Linked DNA regions of Nothobranchius furzeri. The protein of the gene in region 2 purifies or fractionates together with the protein of the main gene of each other region. This does not show direct contact. Links are inferred from orthologs where the notes say so. Each region holds a gene or a part of one and is shown on either strand. Other genes may lie near its edges.

What was found. Proteins that work in one complex are often made in the same cells at the same time.
Region 1: the proteins of rpa3 (region 2) and prpf19 purify together in Homo sapiens (affinity purification with western blotting; 3 studies listed by BioGRID, with this or other methods). This does not show direct contact. The link is inferred for Nothobranchius furzeri from reciprocal best matches to the Homo sapiens genes RPA3 and PRPF19.

Annotation. Positions count from the first base shown.
Region 1 is NC_091741.1:94,861,653-94,867,714, forward strand, and holds the start of prpf19 (pre-mRNA-processing factor 19), read right to left. Parts: upstream 2,801-6,062; 5' UTR 2,668-2,800; coding exon 2,649-2,667; intron 2,455-2,648; coding exon 2,305-2,454; intron 1,791-2,304; coding exon 1,714-1,790; intron 1,428-1,713; coding exon 1,286-1,427; intron 1,145-1,285; coding exon 1,071-1,144; intron 985-1,070; coding exon 919-984; intron 823-918; coding exon 781-822; intron 676-780; coding exon 601-675; intron 515-600; coding exon 439-514; intron 339-438; coding exon 229-338; intron 140-228; coding exon 1-139. Other genes in the region: uncharacterized protein, read right to left, coding at 4,131-4,352, 4,425-4,523, 4,598-4,699, 5,042-5,226, 5,321-5,659, 5,812-6,062. UniProt on the Homo sapiens protein: Ubiquitin-protein ligase which is a core component of several complexes mainly involved pre-mRNA splicing and DNA repair. Required for pre-mRNA splicing as component of the spliceosome.
Region 2 is NC_091751.1:24,166,240-24,174,155, reverse strand, and holds the start of rpa3 (replication protein A 14 kDa subunit), read right to left. Parts: upstream 4,595-7,916; 5' UTR 4,530-4,594; coding exon 4,431-4,529; intron 4,354-4,430; coding exon 4,279-4,353; intron 1-4,278. Other genes in the region: umad1 (UBAP1-MVB12-associated (UMA)-domain containing protein 1), read left to right, coding at 5,066-5,147, 6,492-6,577, 7,576-7,851. UniProt on the Homo sapiens protein: As part of the heterotrimeric replication protein A complex (RPA/RP-A), binds and stabilizes single-stranded DNA intermediates that form during DNA replication or upon DNA stress.

The DNA.
Region 1 (6,062 bases), on a different chromosome or scaffold from region 2:
TGAGCAGGTAGTCTCCAGTAGCATGAAGGGACAGACCGGTGACGCTGGCTTCGTGGGCACGCACCACCTGGATGCAGTTGCCCCCGGTAACAGACCACACACGGATGGTGGCATCAGGAGAGGCAGAGAAGACCATAGACTAGAGGGGAGAACACGTCAGAGAGAAGGATCACACCTGGCACGTTCCTTCAGTTATCAATAAAAGACCCCCAACGGACAAAGACTCACCTGAGATGGATGGAAAATGACAGAGGTGACCTTTTTGGTGTGGCCTTTAAGAGTCGCCACAATCTGCTCCTCGTTCTTGTCAAACACCACCACACTCTTATCAGCTCCACCTGGAGGACGACAACACAGTCAGCGTTGGACTAAATCGGCCCCGAGCGGGTGATTCGACACAACGCCAAATCAAATAGGACAGAGTTAAGCTCAGAGTACCAGTGAGCACTTTGCTGGTGTCTGAGGGACACACGTCCAGGGACAGAATACCAGGCACACTGGCGCTGTGAAGACCCTGAAGCAAACAGGAAACAAGTCCACCAGATGAAGCACATTCAGTCGTTTATAGGACCATCTTCATCATCCTGGTTCTGCACTTACAGCGTGGGAGGCCACTTGGCGGTACTTGCTGAGATCCTCGGCTCTAACCAGCTCCTCTGGAACAGTTTTTCCCCTCTACAGAAGCACAAGGAACTTTTTAAATCACACACAATCACAAGATATAAAAACTTTACCTTCCGTTGGAAGTTATAACTATAACAAGGAAAAAATGCTACAAACCTTTTTCCTCTCTGTGGTGAGAATAGTAGCCTTGTCTTGCAGCTGGAATGATCAAACAGATTAAATTGTTTAAATAAAATGAAATATGAGCTTATAATAAAATAATAAAATTCTGTGGACATAAAAAAAGTGTTTTACCTTCTGGATGATCTCTGGAGTCATTCCCACCTGTTCACTGATCTCCATAGGCTCTCCACCAGCACCCTGCAATACAAATGTGAATATTTTATACAAGAGGACTAAAACTACCAAGAGCTGAGGGTTAAAACAGTTAGGCATGGGTCACTCACTGCTGCAGCAGGCTGAGAGGCGGGGGCGGCCTGAGGGGTCACCAGTCCAGCTTGAGGTTTAAGTGTGGCCAGAGCTGCAAAAACAAAATAAACACATTTAGGACATTTTAAACGTGCTTATGTTCCCATTTAACAAATAAACCTTTGAAATAACACGCCAAGTGGCTATTAACATTTTAGAAACACCAAGATGTGTCTTCTTAGGACATACAGACCTTCTCTTGCAGCCGTGACCTCCTTGTTGAGTCGAGCGATGACTCTGCAGGCTGCGTCGTGTTGATAAAGGGCGTGAGAGAGTTCCTGGCGAGTAGTCTGCAGTTGCTGCCGCAAGGTGAAGCTGTGAAGCATGACGGCATCCTGTAGGACGCATAAAAAAAACAACTCTTCCTGAGATTTGAAATTAATTTATTAGAAATGACAGCAATGTCTTTAATACTTGAGCTTACAAACCCCAAAATTACTTCAAAAGTTACGTAAAAGTGTCATATGTTGATCTATGTGTTTGACGAGTTTTCAGATTTATTTTTGTTCAAATAGCAGCTGTTGTGTGAAAAATAAAAGGGTGATTCCTGTTCTAAATAGTCAACAATAACACACAGGTGTGAGGTGGACGAGTGTCCTCCTGACCGTTTCCATCACTCACCCACTCATCTTGAAGAGACTTGAGAATAGCTGGGATGCTTGTTGCTGATGGCGCCTTTGGTCTGATGGGGTGGGTCACTAAGCGGGAAGACATTTTCCAAACCAGGAAAAATTCAGTCAAACCTTTTTAAGTTAAATATGTTATTTCAGTGTGCAACTGGATTGAACTGGTACAGTTTATTGAAAGGCCCAGACTTATCAGAGTGTTACTAATAATAAATTAAAACCATTATTTTAAAATTACGACTCAATTAAAAATAAAATAAATGAAAGATCAGATGGCCATGATCATTTCAGTTAAAAACGACGCAAGACAAAAAGTTTAGTTATTTACCTTTATTATAATAAACTGTATTTTTAATTTTGATCCCTTTTGATGCCTGGATTAATAATCGGTTAGCCTTAGGTTAAATAATCTGTCCCAAACAACCACTTCAGTGTGAATAACTCAGCATTTCATGTTTATCATGTTAAACAGGCTTTAATACAATGCGAATTTCAAACTCGTCGTTTACTCATTAATTCATTCGTAGTGTCCAAAAATATCAAGTTAATCAAACTTAAATAAAGTCAAATCGAGGGTGTAGTTCACCTTTGATGTCCACTAGCTGCTCCTCGGACAGCGGCTGTCCGTTCATCGGGTCCGTCCCATTCTCGGCGATGTACTTCTCTATCAGCCTCCGCTCAAACACATGATTGGACACCGGGGAGATGCACGGGTGCTCCGGCACCTCGTTGCAAACTACAAACAAACAAAAGGAGAGGGCGCATAACGCTCACAACTCAGTAAAAACAAAGAAAAAAAAGAGAATGGAGGGAAACTGAAGTTAAATACGGTTTGCGTGGCCGCTAATGTTAGCTTCATTAGCTTGTAGCATTAGCATGATACCGAGCTAACTCACAGGCGCCGTCCTGCAAATTTTCATCTTCACTTACTTGCACAAACCAAAGACATGTTCCAAACGCAGTCCTAACAGTGCCCTCCTAAACGTAGACTGTGTTTTTTGGCGTCTTGAATTTCCCCCCGCTTGTGAACACTTATATTTAGTTCAAACTGGAGATAGCACGCTGTCCTTTCATTGCCGCTATAAAGGAACTGCTTCCTTTTTCTTCGTCGCTGGTTTCCGCCAACAATCAAACCGCACTCATTTCAGTCTGCACTGCCCTCCACCGCTTAAAACACACCACTGCACTCTTGAAAATCTTACAGGGGTCTGCAACCAGCAGTGCAAGTGGCTCTTTAGATAAAAATTATTTTAAAAAGCACATTTTTAACATAGACATATTAAAAATTGTTGGTTAAAGCAGCTTTTCGGGTTTTATGGAATAACTACATTGAATATCCACATCAAAATGAAACTACAATTACCATTTGACATAATTTTCCACAAATATCAACATCCCAGAGAAAAATCTCCATTCTACGTTTGCCAAAGTATTTTTTTTATCATTTTAAAATTGACTAATGGAAACAAATGTTGGATATTTTTAAATGACAGCAAATCTAATAGTTCCTTATTGAAGAAGGCACAAATATTTCTTGCTTTAATCTCAGAATTCTCCCATTAATGTCAAGACATCTGAGCAAAAAAAAAAAAAAAAAAAAGAAGATAACTTTCCTCTACGTTAAACCTCCAACATAGATTTTTATCATAAATGGCGTTTTTCCTGAACGTCCTCTAACAGTTGAGGCTCTGAACAATTATTGGGATGGACTGAGAGAAAAACGGCCGTTTGGATTGTAAAGAATGCAGACCCATGCTCAAGCAGATTTCTCTATAGTCAAAGAATAGATAATATGAGGCGTTTGTGTTAAATATACATTTTATTGTTTTAGAGACAACCTTCTGATAGTCAATAATGAATTACATTAGTGATGCTATAATATGTTCCCAGATTTACAGGCTGTTGCCCTATAATAGGTTACATTTCTACAATTGTCTAGAGGGTAATAACACTACACCTGCAAAATAACTTTAACTGCAAGACAGATATTTATAATATTTTTTGCAGCAGTCAGGAATGAACAGGATGATTATGCACTTTAGTTTATGCTATAATAATGTGGCATTTTAATAATTTTCTCTTGCAAACCTTAGAGTAACTATGTTGACGTTTATGCAGACCTAGGGATCATAGAAGGCCAATGAACACTTGAGACACCCGGCAAAGACAGTGCAGATCATGTTGGTCCTGAGGGTCTGGAGGTAGGTAACAGCAGGAGATTTCATGAGCACCATAGTGCAATGTGTGACATGAAGGGTAACGCTCAACCCGTGGTTCAAAACTCAGTACAAACCCAAGAATTAAAAGTGTGCAAACTGGTGCACATGAGATTGTTCATGTCAGCTTAGAATCATCTACTGTAATATTTCCATGCCTCAAGCTTCACTTCTCATCTCATCCTAGCCTCCGTTTTTATAGAAAGTCCAGTTTATTTGATGTGTAAACACTGCAAGATTCAGAAGTGTCCGTATCTAGAGGCAGCGCGGAAAATAAGTTGTTGGATTTGCTCCACCTTTCCTCATCTCCGTCTTTCTTGATCTGGAACTGGACACAGTCCTCGCAGGAATGGAGGCAGTCTGACGCTCCAGGAACAGAAAAGGAAATATTTTCCTCTTCCTCTGTAGGTTTTTCCTGCTGGAGAGGTGCGACAGCAATGGATTTGAAAAAGCGCGTAACTTGCCATCCATCACAACTCTGCTGTTTTACCTCAGTGGTCACATTATGACGAGGGGAGCTACCAGCTGTCAGTCTTTGCAGTTCCTGGTTTTCATCTCCCACCGTCTCCATCAGAACAGGAGTGTAGCCCTGGAAGTACACAACAACAATGTGCTTAGACACTCAACTCTGTTCCAGCCCCCCCAAGCGATGATAAGCCTTACAGAGTGAGCAGGACTGGCTCTTGGGGTCCATTTTCTTGGTGTAACAGGATGCTCGGGATGGCTATAGTAGGCTGGAGGCTGTTGAAGGGTCTGACTGTAGTTCTGCAGTAACAAACACAGAATAAAACTCAGCTTTTTTACTTAGATTTTATTTCCTGGATCATTAAGAGTGTTTATTTACAGCTCTTTGGGAGTTTTGATCTTCCAAACAGTGCTTTATAAATACATCTAAATTAATTTTAACTTCACTTTTACTAACAGTCATAGGACATGTTGTGGTTTGATTTGCTCTTCCTGCTGTGCGTCAGCATTCCAAAGGGCTATTTAATTTAAAAGATGCATATTTGCACATGATGCAAGCTCAGAATCAGAAATACCATTTAATCTATGGCAGGAGACTAAAAGTGGGCGGGGCTACACACGGTGGAGTTCTGTCCTCCTCACCTGGATGTTGACCCTGGGAGGGTTGGATGGCGCCGCGCGGTTTGTCCTGATGCCCGTGATGATCTGTGACAGGCTGCAGTTTGGGTAGCGCTTCATAAACAGGATGAAACCGGCCAGCGACACAAACATTCCAGATGGGACAGAAATGGACTTGAAGAGCGCTCGCCACGTCCCTCCCCTTTTTTCTGAGATCAGAAAGACAGATGGGACAGAAATTGGATAAACTTTGCACAACTGAGCAGGAAGTTAATTTCCAGGTGAATGCGCAGCGCTGCTCACCGATCATGTGTAAATACGTAGAAGACACGAGGTTTCCATCCCCGTCTCTGACTTCGTACAGCCCGTCATGTCTTGATGTGAGTCTGATGATGACGACCTCATGGATGGATCCGTTCCTGCTCAGAGAGACGATTCCTCTGTAGCGCAGGTCGTGGTCCGTTATGTGGCCCTCGCGAAGCAGCTGCACGGGGCCGCGGGGGGGCTTTGGGTCGAAAGGGCCCAGGGACGACTCATCTGGAATTCGACTTGGGGTAAAAATGAGATGGGCGTGATGGAGAGGGAGAAATAAGGGAAGGGTTAGAGACTCCTTGGTGAAGCGAGAAATATTGAAGGAGTGCCCTGCATTAGGATGCAGATCAAAAGCAGCAGTGGGTGATGGAGGAGACATGGAGGTATGACAGAGTAACAGATACAAAGAGGATGAAAAAAATTATCATCCTATTGTTGCCAAAAAACGAAAAACAGAATCCTCTCAAAGCTCTGGAGCTCACCACGAACTGAGAGGGTGCTACGAGACAGTACGTTCCCGTCGTCGTCTTTTATGGTGTAGTTGCCTTGATCCGCCTGCGTGACTTTCTCCGCCAACCAGACCCTCCCTCCTCGCAGCAGCCGCCCCCGACCAGCGTCGCTTGTTTCAGGGTTCGTCCGGTTCCACAAGATGATCGGCATGGCCTCAGGTGGAGCCCCACGGGGATAAAACTCCAGCAGGGAAGCATTTTCAGGAATCCCATGCTCAAAGGTC
Region 2 (7,916 bases):
TGTTTAATATTTTAATTCTCTTTTATAATTAAATATATATTTTTCTCAATATATAACCATATTTGATAAATATCACGATAAATAACATTCAACTGTTTGTATTTTAACATCGTCCTTGTAGTTTTATAAGCTGATAATTAAACTGAAGCAAACATCTTTACTGTGAACTAAATTTACTGGTTATCTTCATTCCTTTTACCGTCCTTTTTCTTTTGATTTTTCCTACTGGGAAGTTAGAATTTCAGAGGAGAAAGCGAACGCACCATTAGCTGATAACAATGGTGGCATAGGAAGCTAACATACCAAGCTAACGTTATCTTAAACAGTTTATTTAACTGCTGGAGCAGATTAAAACGATGATGCCTCACACTTAGATCGTTGTCACTGGTTTCATCTTCACCCATCACATTTAGTAAAGTGAAGCCAAACTTTAGAGCACGTTCATGTTCTTCTAGTCGGGAATTCGGAGTTCCGAGGAGAAAACCAACGCACCATTAGCGAAACGGAAGCTAACATATCAAGCTAATTATATTTACCTACGGGAGCAGATTAAGATGAGGATGTCTCACTTAGATCGTTGTCGCTGGTTTCATCATCACCCAGTTACCCATCACATTTAGTGAAGTGGACCCAAGCTTTAGCGTGCGTTCTTTCTACCATGCTGCTCTGTTTACAACTCGCTCGCAGCGAGCGACGACATAACGCTCTTGCGCATGCGCAGCTGTCTTGGCAAGTTCTCGTTATGATGGACAGGTACCGAAACGAGGCACAGTTTGAAACGACGTGAATCAGTGCTCGGTCGGTGCTATGGAATTCATCTTAGCTGTGTTCTTGCTGTGCGTTATTTCTAATTCCAAGTTGTCGTTCTTTTTTAAAACACAGAAACGGTTTTGTTACCTGTTATTGACGCTACAGTTTTGCCAACTGCTGCCGGCTTCTTCAGGCTGACGCTGAACGAGACGGCTCTCAGGCCTAGCTCCCGAGGTATTAAAAAATTGGAAGATGTAAGCGCGTTGCGCACCACACATACACACACACACACACACAGTGTGTCCCTGATTTACATGAGACAGGGGGTGGGGGTTGCAGCGCACCTTCAATCGCTGTGAAAGCAGGGAGAGGGGTGGCACAAAATCCCTGGCACAATTATTACATTAACTAATGGGACCTGTAAATATTGGTGGGGACAAATCAGTAAAAGAGGAGAGAGAGAAAACACAGCCGGTGCTACAGAAAGGTGAGAAAATAAGTGAAAACATGACAGGCACCAAGATTTGGACACATTTATGCCTTTTACAATGGTCTCGGTCTTTGCTGGTTTCTCCATTTTAAAAGTTAGTTAAAAAAGTCCCATTAGTTGTCACACACGCTGATAAGTGTGTGAAATTTGTTCTCCGCATTTGACCCATCCCCTGGGGGAGTGGTGAGCTGCAGACACAGCCACGCTCGGGAACCATTTGGTGGTTTAACCCCCCAATCCAACCCCTTATTGCTGAGTGTCAAGCAGGGAGGCCTTGGGTCCCATTTTTTTTTCAAAGTCTTTGGTATGACCCGACCAGGAATCGAACCCTGACCTCCCAGTCTCAGGGCGGACACTCTACCTCCACAGCACCTAGATCACCACGTAGTGCGCCAGTAAAAATGTGTTCAGACTGTGGTGCGCATATTTAACAAAGCTTCGAATCACTAAAAAAATGAATCGAAGAATGTAATCAATCGAACCATTCGATAATTTGTTCCAGCCCTACTGTAACAACTCAAAAGTTTCACAAACCCTCGCCTCCCTTTCCGGTCGGCTCACGGGTCCCCGGAAGAATGTAAAAATGAATGCAAGTCAACGGAGCTAAAAACGCTGTTTTCTAATTCCGCTTGTTATGTGCCATGGATTTCACATATGATGTCCGTGAATTTTAAATACGCATTTCGATACCAAGAACGCGCTTATTTTCAAACGGGGAGAAACACTATTTTAGGTTTTGTGTGACAATAAGTCCAGGACTACAAATGCGCTTCAAGAAAGTGACGTCATCAAGGCTAAATGGCTGGACGTTTAGCGAACTTCAAATTCTTCCTTCAGGAGAGAAAAACCACCATAAATCTGGCTATTTGGTAAGTAGCAGCTAAGCTAGGGGAGAGGAGATTCTGTGGTGACGTCACATATGCGACGTGTCGATGTCGGATTTGTAGTCGTGCTAATTACAAACTTTTACAAGCTGATAAATTTCAAAGTACGTGACTGGCGTGGTTGAAACACCCACCATTACTTTTCATTTAAATTCCAGTACTACATATGTGCGATCCAGGGTGCAAGGCAAAGCGGATTAGGAAATAGCTCTCTTAGCCCCGTTGCCTTGTTTTCATTTTTTCGTTCTTCCGGGAGCCCATGAGCTGACCGGAAAGGGAGGAGACTTAGGCTCCCTACTGGATGCCTTGCCAGGCTAGAGATGACTCACTTCATATTTGGAGTAACTATAAAAATTCTTTAGTGTTGTAAAAGGAAGCAACACTTCCAAACAGTATAAATATTAAATAAAATTAAAAATAAAATACGTAAAACAAAGCCGTTAAAGTTTTGCAAAAATAAATGTGGATAAACCGCACTAAACTTGTGTCAGTTTATAGTTGCCAAGTTATGTGGGTTGGGTTACAATGCATAGCTAAAGTATTCATATCTCTTGAATCTTTACACATTTTGACACCGAACCACGAACTTCAATGTTTTTTATTACGATGTTCTGTGATGGACCTAAACAAAAAAAAGCACTTAATTGTGAAGTGGAACGAAACTGAATCAGTGCGTTTACATGCAGCCAGTAACCCTTTTAAAACCCGAATATTCACAATAACCCGGTTCCGCACGGCCATGTAAACACCGCCAAAAACCCGGATATGCTCATAACCGTGTTTTTAAAAACCCGGTTACTACACCTGGGGTAACCCTTTTCTAACCCGAATGTTTGGTCGTGTAAACGCATACCGGGATATCCCCATCAAAGCGTGTGTTCTGTGCATGCTCTGTTCACAAGGAATCTTGGTCTTTTGAGTAGCGAGACGTCTTGTATGCACCAGAACACCGGAAGTAAACAACAAGTTGGGAGCAACATGGCGAGTCGCGGCACAGCACCACACTTTGAGTGATGAGGAAACTAAAGCGCAAACAAATGCGGTCACTATCTCTTCTGAACTGGGAAACATGTTGTTGTTTTCACGGATACCGGAACAAGAAGAACAAGAATGCTTGTAAACGGGTTATTCTGATCAACTCAGAAACCCGAATACCGACCTTAACCCGATCATAACCCGGATATTGGCTGCATGTAAACGTAGTCAATGATCCATCCATCCATCCATTGTCTGAACCTGCTTTGTCCACGTAGGGTTGCGGGGGGCTGGTGCCTATCTCCAGCGGTCAATGGGCAATCAGGCGGGGTACACCCTGGACAGAGTACCAGTCCATCACAGGGCAACACAGAGACACACAGGACAAACAATCATGCGCGCACACACACACCTAAGGACAGTTTAGACAGACCAATTAACCTAACAGTCAGGTCTTTGGACGTGCACGTCTTTTGAACCCAGAGAGAACCCACGCATGCACAGGGAGAACATGCAGACTCCATGCAGAAAGATCCCAGGCTGGGAAGCGAACCCAGGACCTTCTTGCTGCAAGGCAACAGCTCTAACCACTGCGCCACAGCCCAAAACCGAAAAATGGCTCTCAGAAATGTATGCAAATAAAAATCTGAGCAGCAGCCCAGTGGTGAACTGTAATGATGTGTTGTCCCTTTACATGATTAATGGAAAGTCACTCAGATCCCATCGCCCTCTGTAGCCAGAATACCACAACTTCAGTGTGGCAGGCCCCTGTTTTAGCTGACAAACCTGGTGCTGCAGTCTGCTTCCAGCACGTTTCCTGGATGTTTTAGATCATAAACAGATCTGACATGTTTGATTTAGTAACGAATCCCTTCTGTGGACACTAATCACGGCTGCGGAGACATTTCACACCAAGAGGATTTAAGTTTTGCTTTTGGTTCTACTAAACAGGCACTAGGGGTGCTAAAAACGAGGCAAAACCGCCTAAAATTGATTTAATGCAAGTTTGTAAATTGGTCAATAATTACATAATTTCTGTTGATTAATTAAAACAACAAAAAGTGAGGAGTTGTTTGAGAGCCAAAAGAGCCGGTTCATTTTAGTGAACCGAGCCATAAGAGCCGGTTCTCTTAAACGAGCCGGAGTTCCCACCAGTGGACTGCGGTGTGGTGTACTCACAGGTTCGTTCAGCTCTACCGTCGCGGTGTTTCCTTCTCCATCGGAGACGGTGAACGTTTTCCCATTGGGGTGAACCTGTGGAACAACAGATCATCAACCGAACGGTTTACGTGAAAACACCGTGACTAAAGATGCACGCAGGGTAATCTGACCTGTCCGACTCGACCAACGAAGCAAACCGGTCGGTTGATGTGCTGCGACAGCATAGAACAGTTAATTCTGGGCTTTGGGACGTCCACGATACTTGCCATCTTCGCGGCTTGACTTATTGGCGACAGGAAGCTCAAGAGACAACGCGGGAAACTATATGGATGCTGTTTGTAGTATTAGAGTAGCCCGCGCGGGCGGAGCTACCACGCTCACAGTGTAATAGCACGAATGCTTCAACGACGGCTTACTTTTACTTGGTTAATAAACCAAGCGCGCATACGGATTCTTACGACATATCCGCTGCACTCCGGGATTTCATTCCCCAGAAACGACAGTAAACAGTTCCGCTACACTACAATCGAGTGGCACCGAATTAGCTAGAACATCATCCAGAGGAGCCATGATCTAACAGCGGACTCATACACTTCACACCACGGTAAGCGCGTCACGTAATCGCTTTTTCACATGTAACCGATCGAAGAACTTTAAAGTAAACCAAGTTAAATGTTTAGCTTGGCGTTTTTGAAAGCAAAGTCCATATCCGTATGCTTCCGTCCAGAAGCTCTTCAAATGCATCACCGTCTTAACTTCTGCTGTTGGTCTGACGTTGTGTTTTTCTGTTTGTTGAAGTAAAATCATGTTAAACTTTTTCGGACTACGTAAAGACTCAAAGAAGTCAGCAGCCGAGAAGGACGTTGATGGAGGCTTTGTCGTCGTTGGTAAGAGCGATCATGATTGTTCTGTTGAAAATGTGTTCTGTTCATTGATATTGAGCTAGATTAATATTATTGTTTCTGTTTGTACACCTGCTTTTTTGTCATGCTCAGAATTCAACTGTAAATATTGATTCTTATGTAAGCCTGTAAGCTTCATTGGTTAAATAAAACTTGTTAAAAAAGTGTTCTGTTCACAAAGGTTCCTCCATCACTTCCGCTGTTTTCCCTCCCAGTGTGTGACACGGATGGGGCGATGAGAACTAAATGTGGAATATGCGGAAAATAAGGTCTAGGCTCTAGAGTCAGCCAGAGGAAACCGCAAACATTAACTTCCTGTTTCAATATGAAGTCTATCTAACTCAACAGATTTACTGCTACCACAGTGTCTATTAACTCTAGCTCTACAGTTTGAGTCAACACTGTTCTGGTGGTTTTAGACAGGCGGGGTTTACAGATCTGGTCATCAGAACCCAGAAACAGGAAGAGGCTCCAAGTTTGTTTTGATGTGAGGCAGCTGTGTGTGACGCAGGATCTGTGCTGCTGGATAATGCTACTCAGGTCAGTCTGATGAAAAGAAAAATAAAATGCTCAGGAACGACTGCATCCAGTCGAGGTGGAAAAGTGTTTTCCAGACATCGGCGAGTACATTCTGCATCCAGATCAGTGAGAGAGTACCAGCAGAGTTTCTTTCTGGCAGAAACAGCAAATTGTATTGTTATGATTTAACAGTTTGTCAGTTTGTGCAGCAAACACATTGGAAGGAGAAAAAAACAACAACAAACATTTGAGGAGAACCATGTCAGATGACACACCCCTGAGCAGGTGCCTAAAACAGCTTTGTGCTCAGCCTAAGCTTAAAATGGATCTGAGCTTGAACCAACAATAAATGACATTTAGAGGAATTCTAGTTCTGTTCTCACAGATTATAAAACGCTAATCAGTACAGCACTTCTCAGTGTTGTGTCCACCTTGGAACTGGGAGATTGGGGTTCAAATCCCAGTCGGGTCCTATCAAAGGCTTTATAAATGGAACACAATGCCTCCCTGCTTGACACTCAGCTTTAAGAGCTTGGATTGGGGGTTAAACCACCATATAGTTCCTGAGCGCAGCCACAGCTGCAGCTCGCCGCTCCCCACAGGGATGGGTCAAATGTGGAGATGAATTTCACCAGTGTGTGATGACTAATGGGACTTTGACTTCAAAAATCATCGACACCAAGTTTTATAAAAGAGGCCCCAGCTCCTGATCTGACGACCCTTTACACCTCTACGTGGCTTTTATTGTAATTACTTGATATTCTGGTTGTGGATAGAATGTGTCTTCTGTTTCCATCTTTTAATCTGTAGGAGAAACAGCAGAAGAACGGAGGAGGAGGATGCCTCCCAAGAGCGTCACACAGCCCTCTACTAATGTCATCGTGCAGCCATCAAAGGTGAGCTGCTCAAGGTCCATGCGCTGTGATGAATGTTAGTCCTGCAGCTTATCTCTCAGAGGAGAGCTGCACATTAGTAACCAAGTCATCTAATGAGCTTTGAAAGAAAAGCGTCTGGACTTCTTTGAGTTGCTTGAAGACGTTTCACCTCTCATCCGAGGGGCTTCTTCAGTTCTAAGGTCAAATGGTGGAGAGTCCCAGATTTAAACCCAGTGGGAGTTTCCCCCCGGAAGAGGGAACAAAAGACCCCCTGATGATCTTCTACATAAACACATGAGCCAAGGTGTGAGGGTGGGTGTGGGTCCTGTTCAGCCAGAGTTTCGGGTGAGCTCATTGTGAAACCTGGCCCCACCCTATCATGTGAATTCCTGAGGTCAGATGGCCCAGGATATGCATGGGCATTGAGGCATCTGGGAAGGGATCTCAAAACTGGATTATAGATGGCAGACAGTTGGTGTCGTAAACCACCACCTCTGTTCAAAGATGGTTGCTCACAGTGGACATAAATGGCTTCCTTTACTCCTCTTTCAAACCATCTGTCCTCTCTGTCCAAAATGTGAACGTTGGCATCCTCGAAAGAGTGACCTTTGTCCTTTAGATGCAAATGAACTGCTGAGTCCTGTCCCGTGGAGGTGGCTCTTCTATGTTGTGCCATGCGCTTGTGAAGTGGCTGTTTGGTTTCTCCGATGTAGAGGTCTGGGCATTCCTCGCTGCACTGTACAGCATACACCACATTGTTCCGTTTGTGTTTAGGAGTTTTGTCTTTCGGGTGAACCAGTTTCTGTCTGAGTGTGTTGCTGGGCGTCTTCAAGCAACTCAAAGAAGTCCAGACGCTTTTCTTTCAAAGCTCATTAGACTACAATGACCTAGATGACTGAGAACCTTAAACCAAGTCATCCTCAGCCAAGTGGGAACCTGCAGTAGTCAAAAGTCCCTTTGGAGAATCATTCCTGCTTCTGGATTAATTTTTTAAATTATGTCATAATGTCTTCCCCCAGCCGTCCTGTCCCTCACCAACTCAGCCCAGTGATGGAATGCTTCCTGCACCTGTTACCCACCCAGCACCAGGACATGGACCTCCAGCCTCCCAGGCCGCTCCAACCCTCCCGGATCTCCTCGGAGATGTCCCCTTCACATTGGCTCCTCATGTGCTCGCCCTACAGGCAGGATTCCCCGTGGTTCCTGATGTGCTGATGTCTCGTGACATGAACTCGAACCTGACTAGTTTTCATTACGATTTCACTTTAGAGAACTCTGTGATTCATAGCAGCTAGTAGGTTTGGCGTTGGGACAGATCCTGGTGAGCTTTAAAAGGTTTCACTGGTTCTGGACCACATGA